Canis lupus familiaris: one gene and its partners. The protein of the gene in region 1 interacts with the protein of each later gene in a biochemical or structural test. Links are inferred from orthologs where the notes say so. Each region holds a gene or a part of one and is shown on either strand. Other genes may lie near its edges.

Region 1 (3,649 bases):
GTAGTATTAAAAACAAGTAGTCCCTAAAGACTTAAGAGTTATGATATAAACACCCCATAGAGTATAATCCATGCACTTAGAAATGAAGATTACATAACATGGAAAAGCTTATGATACAACATTAAGTGAAAAATAATCAGAATACAAAATCATATTTCACTGCTTACAGCCATATAAAAGTCAGCCATCCACATCGTCAAGGGTTAGCCCATGTGGAACAAAATGCAGGACCCTTGGCTCCTCCAGGAACTCCCCTCCTCCTCTCCTTCCTCTCACTGACAAGCTGAGCCCCCTCATGATAGTCCCAGCTCATGATGAACCCAATAGCCTGGCTTTGACCAACCACAACCCTGGACTAGAGTCACCACTATAGCCATCAAGTCCAAAGGTTCTTTCCTTCTTATCAACTCCATCTTTTCACAGCACATGTACTTCTTTACCAGTAATTTACTTTTCTAAAATATCCTCAAAATCATCAGTTGGATGGATAATGCCTCCTTTACTGGCTTCTCCCCTCGCTAAGAGACCTACCTACTCAAGCTTCTGTCCTCTGTCCCTTTGGCAATCACAACTAATCCAATGGCTGTAATATTTACCTCTATGTAGCTAGTCCTCAAATATAAAGTGAGCTCCTAAGCAACACAGCTAGGTTCTCAAACGCCTGCTAGACAACTCCACATATATTTCCTTTGGCATCCACTTTTCATGCAGGTTAAGGTTCCTCATTCTTCCTACAACCAGACTGGATCTCCAGACTCCCATTTCTCTGCATGGCACCCTTTTTGCTCTAGCTCTTAATGCATGAAACCTCTGTAAAAATACAGCCCTAAACTCCCTTCCTGCCCAGTCTTCAACATCTCTTCTAGCTTCTAGAAGAACAGGGACTCATACTGTTCTGCAAGTACACTCCATGCTCATTCTCTAACCCTGGGATCTTACTCAAGTTTCAATTCATCCATGAAGTCTTGGTGACTTACACTCAGAAAGATGTGTTTTCTCTACCGTTAAAATCTTGTAATACTTAGTTTCAGCTTCTATATTATGGTTCTCCTGTTTGGCATTTTTATGTTGAACCACATGAAACTGCTAATAGTTTTATGCCATATGGTTTAACCTAATACTTCTGTTGCTTTTAGGGCCCCTAACTAGTCACCACAAAAGCAGGAAATGAGTTTGCCTTTCTTTATGAGCCCCCAGGAAGCCCAGAACATTGGAAGGATTTGTCAAAATGAAAAGAATCTGAATCAATATATATCTTATACATATGAGTAAGGGTTAGGCAGGGCTAGGTATGAGAGATGGGGGGCTATGTTATCCGGCTCACAAAAATCCCCCAAATGAGGAGGTATGAGAAAACCAGAGATGAGGGAACAAACCAGACCACTCTACCCTAGGTGTCAGAGGTAGGGTCTTGTTATAACAGCTACTTGTGACCAACAAAGAATTACCAGATCCTAAAGGTGTTATCACTAGTCCTTACTTGATGGTGTTATCAATAGAGGTGTTAAAAAGATTTAAGTTTCCTGGCTACTTTCAATAAAAGACCAACCCTAAAAGCCCTCAGTGGCCACCCTGTCGGGACCCCTCTCACTCTTACTGCTTTATTCACTCTCCTTTGTCCTGAGAGAGATTCATTCTTCCACTCTGAGAGATAAGAACCTTGCTCTCTGCTTCATGTATATGTTGGTAAAATGAATCATCTGTAGCAATTAGTCTAACCTATCAGCTTAATGGTAGAGGTGAAGAGTTTTAGAACCTGAAACTTCAAAACTCCTGGTAATATAAAATATTTTGGTTCAAGGAGCCGTTTTAAAATCATTTATTTGTGAAGGGAACATTCTTGGATTTAGAGGTTGGCAGGTACAGTAAAAAGCTTTTTAGTTGACTGGAATAAAAAAATAAAAAGCGAAACGCTTTTTTTAGCAGAGGCACTTCCCTTAAAAAAACAAACTGCCTAAAAGCAAAGCACAGCAGTTTGTGCACAGTAACATGTGCCTCCAGCCATCAGCAAAGACCACTGGGGCCAGAGCTCGATTTGCATTTCTATGGCTTCTTTTTGTAGGCGCACATTCTGAAAGCATTTCACCAAGAAGCTGTAAGCATCATCAGGAGAAGACACAATGATGGGATGTCTATACAGGAGAGGCACCAGGTAGCCAGACCCAGCAGCCCTCCTGCGCACAGCAGTGGGCCCCCAAGAAACATAGGTGCAATTAATCTGTGCTGGTTGAGAAAGGGGAAAGCTGTGTCTGATGGGTCCTTCAGCATCCCCTGACCATCCACAGAAGCCATCTGCTCTTTCATGCTTTTGCAAAGCATGACTTCAATCCAGTGAAACGGTATCTGCTGGTATCCCCATCAGATAACAGTGCTCCACGTCTAGGGGAGGGCGCTGCTCATCAGTTCACCTGCTCTCCCCCTCTTGCTACAGAAATCACCCTTGGGAATTAAACACCCAGGTGAGAGGACAGTAGGCTTCATAGGTACCAGAAGCAGCAAGAATGGTGTCAGGAGAGGACAGGCACTGCTTGCTTTCTGACATTTCAGTAGTCTATTCTAGGGATGGTTTTAGGGCAGCTCAGAGAAAATACGCACAAAGAGGGACTTTTGCTCTGTTCCTGTCTCCGTTGGCCGCTAGCATGGAAGCTGTGATTTTGATGGGGTTTTGATGGGGTGGGGAATCTCTCAATGCCTGTCCTAAAAGGGCCCTGAGCCCCGGACCTCCTGGAGCGAGCTGCAGCCGCAGCCTTCCGATTATCCTCCAGGGGTCACAATTGGGTTACAGATTCCTCGCAGTGCAGTGACTGAGCAGTCTGATTTGGAACAATTTATTCGAATCCTTCTTCATTAAGATTCAAATGGAATAAGTAAGGTAGAAATTGAACAGACACAGAAATTGCGCCTTGCTGCTCCTGTAGTCAGTAAACATTTATTCACCAAGCCCAGCCCGTGTGTTCTCTCTCTCTCCCTCTCTAACCCACAGTTGTTCTTCCAATCCTTCCTGCTTGCTGTTTTAATGCATAATTAAGAAGGTCAGAATTAATGAAGCGGTGTGGAGTAAAGTTCAAGGAATCCCCAGGCACTATTTATTCTATTAGATCTCAGGCATGAATGTCAGCTTGGCAGAGGAAGAGGCATAAGCACTGGTGCTGGCTGCATCCCAGGAACCATCCACCGAGGGACACTCACCTGCACTGTCAAGTCATTCCTAAGCTCCTTCCCAGCGAAAATCACACGCAACTGGTCAACCGGGGCCCCCTGTCGCTTAGCAACCACCTCCTTGAGCTGGAAGATGCTGGTTTCAGAATCGACCTCCACTGGGAAACCATGGCTGGAGTTGAACCTGACGAACACTGACCAAGAGATTAGGAGAGAGGGGGGGAAGTGAGCATTACTCAAAGATCAGACGTGGCAACAGCAACATTTCTGTACCAAGTTACCTCTCACCTGCCCTTCAATGAACAGGGTACATTTCCTTTTACTTATAATATACTTCATGCAATGGAGCAACATTTGAAGAAAAACAGGTTCCCCATGGGATTTCCCTTTCATACATCAGTCAGTGACCTTCCCATGCAATCGCTTGCTCCCTTTGATGCCAGTCCTGGGAAACAAAGAGCCCACACAAAACACTTGCTAGACTGGAACT
Region 2 (3,749 bases), on another chromosome or scaffold:
AGGAGGGTCTGGGTGGAGGCCGGGTCAGCACCATGCCTTTGGGTCCCGGTGAGTGCTCCGTGATACATGAACCACGTGGGCCCAGACTGCACAAGCCAGTGGGGACATGGGTGACTGTGCCCCCTACCCCAAGCTCTGGGTGAAGAGGCCCTAGTGCCCAGACAAAAAACTCCTGTCCCCACTGGGCTGGACGGGGATGCCTGGCCTGCCCGTGTAAACTGACCTCCAGTCCCCTCCTCTGCCACACCAGGCTGCTCACCTTCAGTTCCCGATCTTGCTGCTTAAAGTCCTCATCCTCGTCAGAGTCACATTCGGGGAACTGGTACACGTGGATACCAAACTTGTCAATCTCCTCCCGGATCTGGGGCAGGGCAAGGCGGTCAGATTTGAGGCTAGCCAGGAACCCAGGGCCAGGGGCACTGGCACCCAGGATCGGCACACCCAGTGTTCTCTGTCCCAGAGACCTAGCCCAGGCCCCGCTGCCATGGCAGGCTCACCCGCTCCTTCAGCTTCCGGATCTCGCCAGGGACAAGACAGTCAGCTTTGGCGATGAGGGGTACAATGTTCACCTTCTCGTGCAGAGCCTTCATGAAACCCACATCCACGGGCCGCAGCCTACAGAGAGCACCCAGGGGTAGAGAGGGGCATGGTGGGGGTGGCAGGGTCCTGGGGAGAGGCTGGGCTGGGCTGGGCGGGGTTCGTGGTTGTGAGTGCACCGACAGTGGACAGGCGGTGGCCGGGACAGCCGTGGGGATCTGTGGAGCCCGGCAGCCCCCCGAGCCCGTTCCCAGGACATTTACGCACCCATGCCCAAAAGGGGAGATGAAATACAGGCAGCAGTGCACACGGTTGTCTTGGATATTCTTGCGGTTGAGGCCGCTCTCGTCTCGGAAATACTGCTCAAACTGCTGGTCCACATAGTCGGTGATGGGCTTCCAGCTGTAGGGAGGCAGGAGGGCCCATGAGGCCAGAAGGGAGGTGGGTCAGCCTAGGCAGACACTGTCCCCCAGCTGGGCTTTCCTCACCACTCGGAGTTGTTGACAGCGTCCCCGAAGCCTGGAGTGTCCACAATCGTGAGCTTCAGCTTGACTCCCTTCTCTTCAATGTCCACCGTGTGCTTCAGGATCTCTACGGTCTGGCTGATGCGCTCTGTGGGGGTTGGGGCATTGTTTGCTGGGGTAACTCCAACTCTCGGCCCCAACCCCACTGGGCAGCCAGGACCCACGTTCTCATTCGTTCTAGTGTCTTGGCCCTGGCCACGTGGCCTGATGGTGGCGTTTGGGCCACTCCTCCTGGACCCTGAACAGGAGACCCATGCTGTGGGAAGACGGGGGCAGGGCGTGGACCTGGAAGGGAACCCTGTGAGGGGTCACACAGCAGGGGATGGGGAACCAATGCCAGGGCTCCATGGGGCCCACTCACCCTCAGCACTGAGCAGCTTCCGGTCCTTGTACAAGTCGGTCAGGAAGAGGCTGTGGACCAGTGTGGACTTCCCCAGGCCTGACTCACCTGCCGGCAGGTATAGGGAAAGAGTCAGGTTAAGTCTGAGGTCCCTATGACAGAGCCTAGCTGGCTAACGTTCCAAGCCACCCCACCTGGGAGTCCAGCCCACTCACCGGCCACCATGAGCGTGAAATCGAAGCCCTTCTTCACAGATTTCCGGTGCACCTGATTGGGCAGTGTGGCGAAGCCCACGTACTGCTTGTCGATATCCTGGGGGCCGGGGCGGGCAAGTCAGGGGCATGCTGGGGTTCCTGGGGCAGTCTGATGCCCTGTTCCCTCCCTACCTGGCTCAGACACGGAGGCGGCAGAGGGTAGAGTCCCCTGGGGGGTTGGGGGAGTTTCAATGGCAGAAAGGGGATGAGGGCCTGTGGGCAAAGGCCTGGTGCTGGAAAGGCTGGCGAGGGGGGCGGCAGGCCTCCTTGCCCCAGCCTCCGCGAGGGGCTTTGCAGGGACCTGACAAGGTGTGTAGAGTTTAGGATGTCTGGCTGCCGCAGGCACAGGCTGTGTCCTCCCTCAGCGGGGGGAAGAGTGCGCCAGGACCACGACCCTGAGCCATACCCAAGGCCCCCCAGCCGGAGAGGCCCCTGACCTCAATACTCACCCCTCCTGAGTGTACCAGGGGGTGGGAGGCCCATCTGGCCGGGATCCAGCCGCGGGGGTGGCTGGCTGCTGCCACCGAGGCGGAGCCGCGGCTATTTATAGACAGCGGCGCGGAGCCTCCCCCGCCCGCGGGTCGCACTGCCCACCCGCGGCCCCGCCGGCCCCTGCCCGGCCCAGAGCCCTGGGGACCGGCCCGCGGGCGCACGCACCCTGACCCACTTCGCGCGCACACACCTTGAGTCGCCTCTGGGCCTGGGTCCGCGGCGACAGCAGCTGCTCCACCAGGCGGTCCTGGGGCGCTGCCAGCGAGTCCATCGCGGCGCTCGCACCCGCACCCGCACCCGGACGCGGTCGGGCCCGCGGGGCGGGGCGTCAGGGGGCCCGCGCGGTGCTGCCTCGAGGCCCCGCTGTCGGGCCGGCTACGCGCGCGGGAGCCGAGGCCCAGGGAAGGGACGTCGCCCGCCCGGGGTGCCGCCGCCCCCCGAGGCCGTGCGTGCCATGCCTGGGCCCTCGGGCCCGCGCCCCAGCCGCCCGCCGCGCCGCAGCCACCGCAGGCCCCGCGCCCGCGCCCGCGCCCGCTCCCGCACCCGAACCGGAGGCGGGGCCTCGCGGGCGCCGGCGCGGGGGGGACGGGACCGCGCGGTCGCCGGGAAACTGTTGCCTGGAAATTGGGCCGCGGGCGGGCGGAGCCACCGGAAAGCTGCCGCGGAGGGCAGGGCCGCGCAGGGCGGCGCAGGGCGCGGGGGCGGAGCCTCGCCGGGGACCCGCCGCCTCGGGCCGGGCCTCGCGACCACCCGCGTGGGCCCGGCCGCGGGGGGGGGCGGGGGCAGGGGGCAGGGGGCGGGGGCCGGGCCCGGGGGACGCGGTTGTGGCCGCCGCGCGGCTTCCGCCCGCCAGAGGGCGCCGGGGGAACGCTCCCGGGACCCAGGCGCACGCCCCGGGAACCGGCCCGCTCACCCGTCCTGTCCTCGCGGGTGGCCCGGGAACCTCCCGGCGGCGCCCCAGCTACCCACGGCCACGCCCCCGTGCTGCCCCCCCCCCGGGACGTGTGCAGGGGGTGCCCGGGGGGGCAGGGGTGTTCTTCACCGGCACGGCCTCCTGCCCGACGTGAGGGAACTGGGTGGGGGCAAAGCCCGCCTCCCCAGCCTGGACCCACCGCCCCTGCCCCCGGGGGTGGCGGACGCTGAAAGCGGGGGAGGGAGGGTGGCTTAGAGCACTAGGCGCCTCCCCGCCCTACCTCTGGAGACCCGAAGCTGCAGCCAGCCCTGGCCCCAGCTGCGCCCAGACCACTCCGCGCCAGCGCCGAGCAGACGTAGCTGGGGAGGCCTGTGGAGTGAACTTACCCCCTCCCCGGATTCGGCTCCCTCAGCTTCCCCGCCGCTCTGACCCTCAGGACTGGCTGGAGCGCTCCAGCCCGGGTAGCCCTGGCCTCCTGTGACCACCCCGGGGGCCCACAGGCACCTCCTGAGCCACCACACCCTTCCTCACCCTCCCTCCAGGCCTCCACCAGAATCTGAACCAGCCAGTACCAGCTGGGCAGGGGGGAGGCTTGGAAAGGAGATGCCGCACGAAGACACATACTCCTTGGACTGTGTGTCAGTGGGGAGAGGCGGCCTCCCAGCTCTCCCCCACCCTGGTCCTCCCTT
Region 3 (2,585 bases), on another chromosome or scaffold:
CTGGGTCCTCTAGGCAAAAGGAAGCAAGCACTAGAGTCAATGAGATGTTTTTCACACCCATGATCTCCAGCTAGTGTTGATTTTTCCGAGGGAGCTTCATTTCCATGACAGCCATCCCTCCTTATCTTATCTAAGGAGTGAACGTGGGCCAGTTCTCTCTGCCTCTGTGTAATTGTGAGTGAATCTGAGAAACCTCCCCTCTCTAGCGTGAGCAAACGATGACTCTTCACTTTCTCTGGAACACATGTTAAGCTGAAACCATGATCAAGCAGGGGTTAATTATAAGGTAGGGAGGGGAAGGGTTCAGGATTGCTTATTTAAATACACTGAGTATTTTTAATTTCGGGTTTCTGTTTACCGCTGAAATCAAACTCTGTTAATCCATAAAGCCAGTGACTCTGAGGTTCAAAGCTTAGCCTTCCGAAGGACTGCTCCCTAAACTGAGTAGAAAGTATTAACCGAGGGTTGGGTAGCTCAGTAGCCCTAAAGCCTCAATTGGTCTCTTTTATAATTATTTTATAGAGGACTGTTCAGCTTTGTTCTTTTGCTTGTGAAAAGACAGGATGAAGTATTTCTGGCAGGACAATCTACTGTGATGCTTGCTGTCTTACTTCCAGGTACCGCGAGAACCTTCGAGAGATGAGAGGCGTTCTTCTCCCTCCCAAGAGTCTGCCAAGTCTTTGGTCTGTCTTTCCTGAAGGTACTGTTGGTGACTTCTGTTTAAGGACAAAAACCCAGAATTTTCCAGGTACCAGAGGACACACCCAAGCTCACCTGAGACTGAGAAGGGTAGGGGGCTGGGGAGGTTGAGAGAAAGAGAGGGAGGACCTGTACCCATATCTGGGACGGGAAAGAACATTTTTTTTTTTTTTTCTATTTCCTTCCTACCTCAGGCCTTGGACCCAGAACTGGCCAAGATTCCCTGCCCTGGGGTGGCCAGAAGTAGCCCAGACTCCAGCACCATGCAAGCCTGACCCAAGCTGAATGCTGGTGACCAGTAAATACCTAAGTTCCAAGGTGCTTCCTTGGATGTACTGAATTAATGAGACCTCCGGGGTACTCCCTGAAGTGACTGAGATATGCTTTCCTCTAGGCTGACCAGAGAGCTGGAGCAGATTAAATTTGACTTACAGGGATGGGGGGAGGGGGGAAGAGTGACGTTTCTTGCTCCTTAGTATTCTGGACTGAAGTTGATGCTCACAACACTACCCCCCTCCCCCGTTGGGGTGTGTTTATCATTACAGACAAACATATACACATTTGCAAAAACACTGCAGAGGATTTGGGGGAGGGTGCCGCAAGGTGTGCTATATTTTTCTTTTAATTTAAATACTTATATTAAAGCAAGCCTGAGGGACACCTGGGTGGCTCAGTGCATCTGCCTCCGGCCCTGGAGTCCCAGGATCGAGGCCCACATCGGGCTCCCTGAATGGAGCCTGCTTTTCCTTCTGCCTGTGTCTCTGCCTCTCTCTCTCTCTCTCTCTCTCTCTCTCTGTGTGTCTCTCATGAATAAATAAATAAAATCTTAAAAAAAAAATAAAGCAAGCTCGAATGACTTAAAAGAGACAGTCTCCCTTAAAATGTATTCTGGGGGGTTTCTTCAGCAAGATGCCAGTCTTGGAGCATTGAGAGCGGGAACTCGCCCTCCACTCCTTCCTTTTCCTGCTTCTGGGGGTGTTGGGGGCGAGCCATTCACATTTCCCTGGGGGGCAGGGGAGGAAAGAAAGCAGAAGGACTTTGCCCAGGGAGGCGCCTGGGCCACTGGGGACCTTTGAAGATGATCCTTTCCTGTGCACAGCCCATGCATTTTGAAGCATAACCATTCTGTCTGGGGCGGCCCCGGGCCGGGTGCGCCGCGGGGCATGGGGGTGCCTGCGTTCAGCTAGAGCAACTTCAGGATGGCAGGGCCCTGCTTCTCCTGCGCTCGGTGATGAAAGGAGCTTTCAGTCTGGGATCAGCAACGAAAGAAAACCTCAACTCTGCTTCACAGCTCCGATTCTGATCAGAGATCGACTCCGTCTGCCCGGGACAGGAAATTTAATGTCTATACTTACTTGGTACTTGACTCCATTAAAACAAAGCCTGAAAGCCAAAGTCAACCCGGAGACGCAGCCTGTTTGTAAGCTGAGTAGACTCCTCTGCTGCTGGAATAAAGCCCCGCCAATCGGGCGCTTGGTCCCTTTCTAAGGCCCCATTATAAGACTGGCTGCTTCTACTGGGGGGGGGGGGGTGGTGGTGGGGAAAGGGGCATTTTCTTCTTTCTTGGTATCAGCTCCTGCCAAGGCTGCTCTGGTACTGTGATTTAAAAAGGTGAGGCTACTGGAAGCACAGGCATGCCGCTGCCGAGGCACCCGCTAGCACCACGTACCGTGCATGGTTACGCAGAGGCTCTTCGGTCAGCAGGTTAGAAGAGAGGGTGACGCAGCTGCCGTACATCTCCTAGAGAGGTGCAATTAAACATCATCTGAAAACATGCAACAAAAGCTCGGCGCATGCACACGACTCAGTCAACAGGAGGCACGCAAGGAAGCAGATTAGCAGACAGAAGCTTCACACATAGTTTAAGAGGCACAGGGAGCTGCTGA

Evidence for each region.
Region 2: of the proteins of PRKN (region 1) and SEPTIN5, one has a biochemical effect on the other in vitro, tested with the Homo sapiens proteins (2 studies listed by BioGRID). The link is inferred for Canis lupus familiaris from reciprocal best matches to the Homo sapiens genes PRKN and SEPTIN5.
Region 3: of the proteins of PRKN (region 1) and SNCAIP, one has a biochemical effect on the other in vitro, tested with the Homo sapiens proteins (3 studies listed by BioGRID). The link is inferred for Canis lupus familiaris from reciprocal best matches to the Homo sapiens genes PRKN and SNCAIP.

What each region holds. Positions count from the first base shown.
Region 1 is NC_049222.1:51,485,991-51,489,639, forward strand, and holds part of PRKN (E3 ubiquitin-protein ligase parkin), read right to left. Parts: intron 3,354-3,649; coding exon 3,190-3,353; intron 1-3,189. UniProt on the Homo sapiens protein: Functions within a multiprotein E3 ubiquitin ligase complex, catalyzing the covalent attachment of ubiquitin moieties onto substrate proteins. Substrates include SYT11 and VDAC1.
Region 2 is NC_049247.1:29,732,619-29,736,367, forward strand, and holds the start of SEPTIN5 (septin-5), read right to left. Parts: upstream 2,492-3,749; 5' UTR 2,419-2,491; coding exon 2,338-2,418; intron 1,714-2,337; coding exon 1,617-1,713; intron 1,510-1,616; coding exon 1,423-1,509; intron 1,150-1,422; coding exon 1,026-1,149; intron 940-1,025; coding exon 805-939; intron 616-804; coding exon 498-615; intron 362-497; coding exon 260-361; intron 1-259. UniProt on the Homo sapiens protein: Filament-forming cytoskeletal GTPase. May play a role in cytokinesis. May play a role in platelet secretion.
Region 3 is NC_049232.1:12,258,707-12,261,291, reverse strand, and holds the end of SNCAIP (synphilin-1), read right to left. Parts: intron 2,440-2,585; coding exon 2,369-2,439; intron 1,350-2,368; exon of another isoform or gene 894-1,349; intron 749-893; exon of another isoform or gene 717-748; coding exon 608-716; 3' UTR 593-607; downstream 1-592. UniProt on the Homo sapiens protein: Isoform 2 inhibits the ubiquitin ligase activity of SIAH1 and inhibits proteasomal degradation of target proteins. Isoform 2 inhibits autoubiquitination and proteasomal degradation of SIAH1, and thereby increases cellular levels of SIAH.